Caenorhabditis elegans: one gene and its partner. The protein of the gene in region 1 purifies or fractionates together with the protein of each later gene. This does not show direct contact. Each region holds a gene or a part of one and is shown in the gene's direction. Other genes may lie near its edges.

Evidence for each region.
Region 2: the proteins of nhr-60 (region 1) and gei-8 purify together in Caenorhabditis elegans (affinity purification with western blotting, with the first as the bait; one study listed by BioGRID). This does not show direct contact.

The regions. Positions count from the first base shown.
Region 1 is NC_003283.11:15,769,626-15,775,210, reverse strand, and holds nhr-60 (Nuclear hormone receptor family member nhr-60), read left to right. Parts: upstream 1-1,969; 5' UTR 1,970-1,984; coding exon 1,985-2,035; intron 2,036-2,090; coding exon 2,091-2,325; intron 2,326-2,737; coding exon 2,738-3,105; intron 3,106-3,155; coding exon 3,156-3,259; intron 3,260-3,313; coding exon 3,314-3,520; intron 3,521-3,617; coding exon 3,618-3,724; intron 3,725-4,590; coding exon 4,591-4,850; 3' UTR 4,851-4,943; downstream 4,944-5,585. Other genes in the region: nhr-283 (Nuclear Hormone Receptor family), read left to right, coding at 24-265; F57A10.4 (Sensor histidine kinase), read right to left, coding at 4,968-5,085, 5,134-5,227, 5,277-5,415, 5,459-5,570. UniProt on the Caenorhabditis elegans protein: Orphan nuclear receptor. Required for embryonic and larval morphogenesis and probably for seam cell positioning and migration.
Region 2 is NC_003281.10:8,118,018-8,123,063, reverse strand, and holds the start of gei-8 (Nuclear receptor corepressor 1), read left to right. Parts: upstream 1-1,831; 5' UTR 1,832-2,003; coding exon 2,004-2,011; intron 2,012-2,258; coding exon 2,259-2,345; intron 2,346-2,401; coding exon 2,402-3,048; intron 3,049-3,293; coding exon 3,294-3,366; intron 3,367-3,416; coding exon 3,417-3,606; intron 3,607-4,686; coding exon 4,687-5,021; intron 5,022-5,046. UniProt on the Caenorhabditis elegans protein: Mediates transcriptional repression by certain nuclear receptors. Plays a role in development and neuronal function. May play a role in muscle-specific oxidative mitochondrial metabolism.

The DNA.
Region 1 (5,585 bases):
TTGCAATGTTATGAATTTTTCAGGCCTTCCTGGGATATCAGAAAGTGGCCGAGGCATACTGTCCACGTATCAGAAGATCTACACCTCAGCCCTTCTCCAATACTGCCTATTGACCTATCAACAAACGGGACCGACCAGATTCACAGATCTACTATCAGTGCTTCAAGTTGTCACTAAAACTCGTCAAGATATATCGTACCTGTTCATTCTTAACTCAATCCGTGGGCCACCTTCTGCACTGAAGAAGATCTTTATTTTCCGATAGGCATCCTGTTTTTTGACAGAATAAATGATTGTTTATCACATGATGCACACAAAGTATTCTTCGAGATCTTTGCTCAGAATCAGAAAAAAAAATTATAAATATTTGGTTTGGAAAACAAAAAAAATGTAATTTCCGAATTCTTGTAGGAATGTGCTCTTTACTCTGGTTTGTGCTCTATGTAGGTTGATACTGGGATTCAGATAGGCTGGTGGACGGAGAGAGGGCCGGCATGCAGGCAGGCAGACCGAGGTGATCAGCAGCGGACACAAATCGAGGTTGGCGATGAACCCAACATGCTAATCACGATCCTCGAGTTGTGTCGGATGCTTAAAACCTCATTGAGCCACGACATTTTGAAGCATTGCAGCCTTTTAGTGCACAATTTGAGATTGACTAAAACCGACCCTTTATATGTAAAATTAGTAGATTTTTCAATTTTTAAAAATTAAAATCTGGCTTCAAACTAACTTTTTCAAAAATCCCCGTAGCCATTTTGTTGTAAATTTTGTGCTCTTTCAGAATTTGTAAACTAACTTTATAATGTTTTCACATCCGCTGAGTTCAAGTAGAAACAGTGGATTTTCAGTCATACCTTTTAGTGCTCAATTTGAGATTGACTAAAACCGATGCGAATTTGACGTTCAATTGCCATTTATTTCGATATTATTCATCCCTGATCAACACCAGTCCATTTCCAATTGACCCCCTTTCCGTTTTGTATGTAATGTTTGCGAATTCCTTGTAGGTACACCTGTTCTTTCACTGTCTGCTTCTCTTCCCCCTGCTGTGTACTTCCCTGACTACGCGAAGACGGCTGCAGACACCCACGTGGAATCGGAGGGTTCAACTTTTTCAGTTTTTTTTTCATTGTTTTAGTGAAGTGCACGTTGGTTCAATGGTTTTTTGCATGTTTTTGATTTAATTTTTAATTTTTAAAGCATAATAGAGCTATGTTTCTATGAGACTTTATATTAAATACATACATATGTTTTTTTTTGGAATTTTAAAGTTTTTTGCTAGGGTAACTGATCAAAAAATGAACAAAATATATAATGCGAATGAATATTATTTGCACAAATTTTCACACAAATTTTTTCATGCATCCTGCTTAAAATTCCAATCCCTTTAGGAAAATTGACATCACTTTTTGCTCACATTTCTGATACCCCGTTATAAAATTTTTTTTAACAGTTTAAGACTAAAATTTCAATAAGTAAGAGTCCAAAAAACGTTTTATTTAAACAGAATCCTAAATGTTTTGAAAATTCTTGATACATTTACACCTACTTTTTTCTTGTGTCCTTCGTTCGCAATTCGATAGTACTAGATGTTATCCCACCCCTGCGTAACAAGGACTTTTTAGACACGGTCTCTGATCGAAAACATACTAGATATCCATCTTTTCAAGGTCAGGCGTGTGCAATCACAAATTGAATAAACACCTCATTGAAACAATGCAACTTTTTATATGAATTTTGGCGAGACTCATTTGTTATTTTGATTTAATATTTTCCATTGCATGTTCTGCTAATTTCAAGGCTCTTTTTTTCAAAAGCAGGAAAGCAGTTGTTTGCTAAGTTTTAATTGTTCTTGGGATTTTTGGAGGTAGAATTTTCTCTAATTTTTGCACTGATCTATATTTCTGGTGACTTACTTGTTTTGTTTCTGTCAGGATAACTATTATTCCAAATAATCTAATTCCAGAATTTGTAGGTCCATATGATTCAATCCAGTTCTTCAATAAGCCAAGATTCCCTAGATCTTCCAAGCGTAAGTTGTTTCATTTTAGACCAATATTTTTGACAATAAAAAAACTAACATTTAGATTCTTTCAACTTTCTCTGCTGACGAACCTGAAGACGAGCCGTCGCCTACTGCTGTAAAATCAACAAAACCCCAACGCCCAACTGAATGCCTGATTTGTGGAAACTCAGCAAATGGTCATCACTATGACGTGGCATCGTGCAATGGATGCAAGACGTTTTTCCGAAGAATGTGCGTGTCAGATCGGAGTTTCGAATGTAAAGCAAAAGGAGATTGTTTTGATTTAACAAAACGAAGTAAGGAATAGAGCTGTGCCGATTTTCCAAAAACCTTTTTAGAAAATACGGAATGTCCATACGAATCTTTCGAAACTTTTGATACATGTCTAGCTTATGGCCCAACGGTGCCAGACTGTCCCATCACGGTTTGATCTACAAAAAATGCGACAATTTTTTTGCTCAAAAATATGTTACGTCAGCACGTACTTAACCATACGAAATCAGTTGAGAACTCTGCGTCTCATCTCCCGCATTTTTTGTAGATCTACGTAGATCAAGCCGAAATGAGACACTTGGACACCACGTGTTCAGTTAAATTAGCTACTAGCAAAACAATACTGGTTGAAGTACGAAACATACTATTTTGTCTAATTACCGAACCCAAGTCCTTTCCAGCTCTTATAAAAACTTAGTTGATCTACATTTTCAGAAGTGCCTCTAAAATGCCGTGCATGCCGCCATCAAAAATGCATATCTGTCGGAATGAACCCCCTTGCAATGGAAGTTGATGAGAAAGCAGCGTCGTCGTCAAACTTTAAGAAACTAGTGAAACGAGCGCAGGATCTAGAGCCGGATGATGACTGTCAAGTGACGGCTGTTGTTAATAAAATGCAAATTGTAAAACCAGTCGATTCTATAGAAAGCAAAATGCAAAACATAACCGACATGCTGGTTTACTTGGAGACAAAAGTTGAAAGATTTCGAAAATCCGCGTATAACCCGCATTGGAATGAGTTCAGCGGGCTGGAGTACCTGCTGGAGTCGGAGTGTAGGATCGGATTTGGCGATAGATTCGGGGTAAGTTGAAAATGATTTATGCATATTCTTCAATCCTGTTCAAATTTCAGCCTATGCCCGGATGGCCTCTTCGAAGGGATCAGCTAGGTCCGCCAAGACTACCGAAACCACCATCCCCAGGGAAACCGAGAGACTCACAACACAGTCAAAACATGTAAGTTGAACTGGAAATTCACCACTTTCACACGAAATTTGTTCTATTGTTCAGAAAACAATGGTTCTTCTACAATTTACTGACAACTGTCGAATACGCCAAAACGTTCATGTTCTTTCATCGACTCAGCTCTCGAGACAAGCTGATTCTAACTAGGCACGTGGCATTGGCTTGTACGAACCTTCATATCTCGTACTCATCGATTAGAAGGAATTTAGAGGTTATCATTGAGCCTGACGGATCGGAACCCATGACTTTCAAGTGAGTCCTGGCTTTACGCGTACTGCTCGAGGAGAAGTGTACAATTACTTTTGCAGCGAATAGTTAATTCTGAAAAAAAAATCTTGAATATTTTCAGCGATACCCATTATTCGGCTTCTGTGATGTCTGTTGCACCGTTGATCCGTTGTCAAATTAAAAATATTGAATATTTGTTACTGAAAGCCATTGTATTATGTAATCCAGGTAATTATTTTGCGATGCAATAATACGGTCTCGACACGACCGAAGGTTTTTGGGATAAGCTGCAAAAAAGTATTTTTTTATATTACGGGAACATAAAACTCTGAGAATGCGTATTGCGCAACATATTTGACGCACAAAATATTTCGTAGTGAAAACTACAGCAATACTTTAGATGACTACTGTAGCACTTTTGTCGATTTACGGGCTCGACTCATTTGTTGAGGCCCCACGAAAAGGGGAGCAGAACGAAAAGGGGATCTGCAAAAAGGGGAGATACGAAAAGGGGATCTGGCACTGTGCCAAACGCTATTTTTCTCGAAGAAAACGATACAACGATGCTCCGATGTTACGCATCGCGTGTTGTTAAGCGTATCTTCTAGAAGAAAATTTCAAAAAACAACGTGCGTTGCGTGAGAAAAATTGCGTTTTGTGCGTTTGGCACAGTGCCAGCTCCCCTTTTCGTTGCTCCCCTTTTCGTATCTCCCCTTTTCGTATCTCCCCTTTTCGCAGATCCCCTTTTTGCAGATCCCCTTTTCGTTCTGCTCCCCTTTTCGTGGGGCCTCCATTTGTTGCTTTTCAAAAATCGAGCCCGTAAATCGACAAGTCTTCTAAAGTATTTCTGTAGTTTTCGCTACGAGATATTTTGTGCGTCAAATATGTTGCGCAATACGCATTCTCACAATTTTAGGGTTTTGTAATATTTCCTTGTTTGTTCGCAATTTTATCGATCCTTTTTTAGAAACCTTTTTTTACGAAAATTAAAAAATAACGAATTAAAAATCGTTTGAATATTTTATCTCGTGTACCTGGTACCGTAGTAGAGCTTCAGAAATCGCAACATTTAAAGGGGAAAGGGAATTTTCCAGCCGTCCCCGATCTCTCCGCCAAATCCCAGGAAATCATCTCACTGGAGCGAGTAAAATATGCAGATGCTCTTTTTAATTATTGTCTCCGAAGCCGGTCTGATGGTCCCCCGCATTTCGCCCAATTAATTCAAATTATTGATGTTCTCGAACGTCAGCAGAGAATGCAAAAGGATTTGCATCTACTTCTCGTGGCTCCGAAAGTAGCGAAATTGCCAAAGGATCTTGTAATGCGAGTTATAGAAGATATAATGGACTCGTAAATATTTAATAATTCGAGTTCTCTCACTAGTGAGAATAAAAGTGAATAAATGGGAAATGTACATATTAGTTAACAAAAATCAATAAAAATTACACACACAAATAAGTACATATGTGAGTTATTCAAAACCGGAATCGATATTTGCAGAATCCCATTTTTCGATTATTTCCAAAAACGATTCTTCGAAGGAAATCGGTGTTTCTTTTGCATCCATGGTAGCACCACTACGAATTTGACTGAAAAATATGAACATTTTAACAGATATTTTCTGAAAAAAATCCTACAATCTTGCTGAAAACAATCTGAAAACCAAAAGCGTCGCGATGAAGAACATTCCAGTTAGAACGGCGCCGATGATTGTTCGAAGAGGAGGAAAAACTGGAAAATTTTTAAAATAATTTTAATACTAATACTACTAGCAAAAAACCATTTTTGGAGTTGCAGTCGAACGTCACATCGATTCGCCGATTTTTGTAATCAAAATACTGTCGAGTAGTCCTCGAAGCGAATCCTGAGCACCATTTTGAAAGTCCTTCACCAGCATAATGATAGGCGCGAACTTCCCACTGAGAATTTCCATTTTAAATATTATTTAGGCATTCTTCTAACCGAATTGCCGACGAGAAACGGTTCGCTGAATGTATTTCCCTCTTCGTTTTCCATTTTTAGAATCGTGATTTTTTCCGGCAAGTCCATATTGAAATCCGCAAGCCTTGACAATCTCAAAATCAATTTC
Region 2 (5,046 bases), on another chromosome or scaffold:
CCACCGGATTCAGAATTTCACTGGACTTCACGCGCTTGCACCCGATGTTTTCTGTTTTTCCACTTTTCTGCCAGCAATGCAATTGATGATGCTGAAAAAGAAAAAGTTGATTATCGGAAGAGGAGAGAGGAAAATGGAAAGAGAGAGAGAGGTGTTAGATGAAAATCGGATGGATTCATTCTTGTCGTTCTCATTCATTTTTGGCACTTTCATCTGCATCAATCCGTATGAGTGTGAGCAAAAAATGAGAGACATCCGATCATCTTCTCCTCATTTTCATATCTTTTTTGCAGCTTCTCATCTTTTGCTCATTTCCGTGTCTATTTGATGTTTTAGTTTTCACGTTCCTATTAATATTATGTTATTCTGCCTGAGAAGCCGGGTTTTTTTATGCAGCTGTTGCCCTTTTAGATGTCACTAAATATCCTAAATTATATATATTGTTGAATATAAATACGGATTTATCTTTCTTACTGGAAATGAAAAATACGATAGTTCAATAAAAGATAGTCTTTTAATTTTTCCTTCTTTGTTAATCTTTTGCAGTTTTAGTAAAATTCGTAGGTATACATACTATGGGACAAGATTCATATTTATTTTCTCATTTTTCCAAACAACTTTTACCTTCACAATTTTTTTTTAAGTATCAAGTCGAAGTTGATAGACCCTATTTTCCACAATTATAAGTGTACTTATTTTTAAAACAACCAATCTCTAACTTCTATTCATCTTTTAAGAATTGTTATTCGCCAAAAACGATATTGCAGTCACCAGATACGTTTCCTATTATTTAATTTCTGATATTCTTTGAAATTTTATTCGCGTCCATTGCTCTGAATTTCCAGCTTTTTCGCAACAAAACACGTTTTGTTCTGATAATTGCTCATGGGTTTGTTACTAGAAAATAACTAGAAAAAAAATATGAGCGCACGTTTCCATTAATCCAAACTTCCTGGAAGTGTCCGTGCTTACTTTTTCCCCGTTTTTGCCCCGACTGCTAATTAAGTTCACCTGAACTTTTATACTCTCAATCCAATCTCCTATCTATCTCTTTCACTTTCTCGGTTGTTTGTCTTTCTTTCTCATAACATCTGCAATGTTCCTTTTCTTCATTTATTTCACTATTTTCGTGTTCTTATTTTCTTTATTTTCTTCTTTTATTCTGATGATGTTGATGACAATGACGAATATGCAATAAGGAATGTAGTTCGCGTAGCAATAGATGAAGAGAGCAAAGGGGGACATTAGAATCTAGATTTATTTTTTGTCTTCCGCTTTTCAGTCTCATTTTTTGGATCATTGCTCTCACAACTCATTTAAGAAAGTTATGAGAAAATTGATTAGTTGTTAAAATACTAACTAGGCTAATCTGTCATTTTCGAAGTACTCTATTTTCTTTTTTAAATCCAATATTTGCGATACTATGATGTTGCTCACAACTAGATGCTCTAGAAACCAAACATTCAAGTTCTATTTTGCCTTACGCGAAGTAAAACTATTCTTAAAATAAGGTAATTTTCTGAAAAATGGAGTGTTCTCTGTCCAGTGTAGGCCAAAAGAAGTCTAAAACATTTTTTGAAGAGACTTTCGAAAAAAATAGACTTTAAGAACAATTTTGGAAAACTAAAATTTTCATTTAGTTATTTGTCATTTTTCATATTCTCGAAACACTTAATACCAATTAGAATCATGTTAACCTTTAAATGAAAACCAAGCTAATCCTCCTACTTTTGGATTATGTTTTTTATGCTTGACTTCCGTTTATTTTTCGTTTAGTTTATGTTTTTCTATGTTCTGAAAATTTTCTTTTCTCTTATTTATTGATTTTCAGGTTTTATTCCTCTTATCACATAATCACAAGTGGAAGGAGGGAATAGGATATCAGAGGTGTAAAACGACCATTGAATAATCAGAAAATTGCTCTTCCGGTCGAAAGTCGTCTTTGTATTTCATCGGGACGGTGGGAAAGACGACACTAGACTGCGAAGAGATACAAAGAAATCATGGAAAGGTTTGTATAATTTAAAGTTGGAAAATCTTGGGGTAGCTTCAATTGTGTTTATTATTTCAAAAATTTTTTTTTTCAGTCTAAAATTCAGAAATACCAATTTTTCTAAAAACTCCAGAAAGAATTAAATATCCAAGTTTTAAAAAATGTGATTTTTCAAAACGACAAACATTTCCATTCTCGATACTCCAACTTCATTCTTAATTAATTAATACTTAATAAAACTTAATAAATAACCAATTTTTTTCAGCTTCAAAGAGCTCGCCCGTGAATATGATGAGAAGTTCAAAGCCTTTCAAGATGATCTTCAAAAATGGGAAGAAACTTCAGAAAGAAAGTGAGTTTTAAGCAATTTCTCCGAGAAAGTTAGGTTTTAAATTTCATTTTTTACAGAGAATACGCAGAGTTTCATCGTGTTCAAGCAGAATCTGAATTCCCAGAGCTGAAAAGAGAACGGGAGGATCGAGAACGATGGGCTCGTGCTGAACGAATCCGCGGTGAAGATGAGAAGAGTATGCTGGCAAAAGAGCACGCCGACAAGAAAATTCGGCTAGGTGTTGCAAAAATCCCACGACTTCTCACAGAGAGTGAACGAAAAATGGATGAATTTGTGGAACGACCCGGTTCAATTCTGAAAGATATGAAGAAAGAACATCGACAATCAGTGTTGGATCGTCTTGAAGAATGGAGCCCTGAAGAGAGATCATTGTTTAAGAGTCGACAAGCAGATCATGTGAAGATTTTCCATGGACTAACCGAGTTTTTTGTTGATAAAACCGCATCGGATCTTGTGCTTTTTTACTATATGAACAAGAAAACCGAAGACTACAAGAAGGACTTCAAACCTAAGAAACGAGTCACAAAATATAAAGTTGGAGCATTTCCATCGGTTGAAGAGCTTGCATACTTTCGAATGATGCCTCCTTTGGATTTTTCTTCATTTCCCAAAAACTCTCTAATGTGTTATTTTTGCTGTCGTACAGTCAACGGAATCGATCTTAATGGAACATTTATGCCAAAAGAGGCTTATGAAATTTTTGGTAAGTATAATGTTCAAATTTGTATTTCAAAATCTTCAATCTCCCTTTATATCCCCTTTTGAGACGAATTCCACCTTTTCACAGACGTAGAGAAAACGACGCAGAACCCTGCAATTTCTGATTCGTTTTGTTCTAGGCGATGTGAAAATTTGTATCTGAAAAAAATAAAATAGGAATACATTTTTCAACCCTACAATAAAAAATTTGAGAAGTCAGAAGTGTGTATCTATAAATATATATTTCAGCTATCTGTCCTGATGAAGATCGAGTTGTTTGTTCGGGTTGTCGTGAAGAAGCTGCAAAACTATATAAAGACAAGTAAGTTGTAGAAATCTTTGAAACATAATTAGAATTACCATAATTTTCAGTCGGTGCTTTGGTAATCGATGCTCAAATCAGAAGAAACGAGCAAATCGAGTCAATAGGAATATTCCTCTAGATTTCGCCGACTTTCCAGTCAGAACGCGTGCATTCATCATGGATAAACTCGGATCGACACGTGTTGCTGTCAAATTTTGTACTCCATGCAAGAATGCCTTGACTCGGTGGATTAATGATGTGAGTTGTTAAAACGGGGATATCTACTATTCTGAAAAACAACCATATGACATCCGAAAAAGTTATCAACGAGGGGTCTGAATTGTACTGTAAAAACGATTTCCCGATTTCTTGTATCTTTTAACCAATACATCCTTTGTGGATTAGGAAATATGTAGTAGTAAAGAGCAAGATGTAGGGTCGTAAAGTGAGAGCTCATAATCGGAGGAACATGCAATTACTTGGAAAGGGTGAATGCGGTGGTCCTCTTTTTTGATACGACACTCTCTCTCTCATGCACATACATTTATTTTCGGATAATAGGGAGATCATAAAAGTACAGTATCATGTGTGATTCGTGACTGATTTGCATTCGAATAAAAAATAAAACATATTCGTTCACTCTGTTTTATCATTTTTTTACTATCGGGAATTTTTAAAATTATATTTTTCGACAAATTTTCGCGCTTTTCTTCCGGTATCTTTTTTAATTCGATTAAATACGTCAAATTGCAAAAGGAACATCGATTGAAAAAAAAACCTAGAAATTTTTATCAGTTTTCGGTGTATTGAGACTGATATCTAGTACGCTTAAAGTCCACTGAAAACCAATAACAATTATTGTAAGACTAAAATTTTCACTTTGAAATGAAAATTAGCAACTCCACATATTTATTCTGAGGTACAACAGTTTATAAAACGTTAATGATTAAAAAATTTTTAGAAATGTTTTGTTCAAGAATGACAATCTATTACTTTTGGGCCCTCTTCAAACCCAAACATTGTGCTTTGCTCGAGATTGATCTTTCTCATTTATATTCTGACACATTCATCTCTTGAAAGGAGTGTGCTGAGAATAAGCAAGCTTCAGAATTGAACGATCCTACTCTATTAAACCAGGAAGTGTTGTATATTCTATGCACGGCATTCTCAGTGATAAAGGCGATTTTGTTGGTCGAAAATTATATTTGTAAAGTCCCATGAGAGAATGGGCTCTTTTATGGTTGGGAAAGAGAACACGGTACCTGTCACCGTTGATATGAGAAATTAAAATGTGAAAATAAAAATATGAAAAGCAACAAAAACAATAAATATTTTCAGGTGAACAACAAAGAGGAAACAATAATGGCAGAACTCTTGAACTATGAGGGACAAGTTGGTTGGACGGATGATGAAAAGACAAAACTTGTGACATTAATTAACTCATCACCGACACTTGATTGGGTTTCCATTTCGGAAGGAATGAATCGTCGACCGAATGAGTGCAAAATGCAATATGATGCTATGAATGGTGTCAAAACTCAGCCAATGATTGAAGAAGTTGATGAAGAAGATGGAAATGGTCAGGAAGAAGGAGGTGATGCATTGGTGAATACACCTACAACATCAAGCGCTGCTGCCAGAAGAAGTGGATTAGCGAGGAATGCTAAAAAACCGTAAGTTTATATGAAAAGTTGAAAA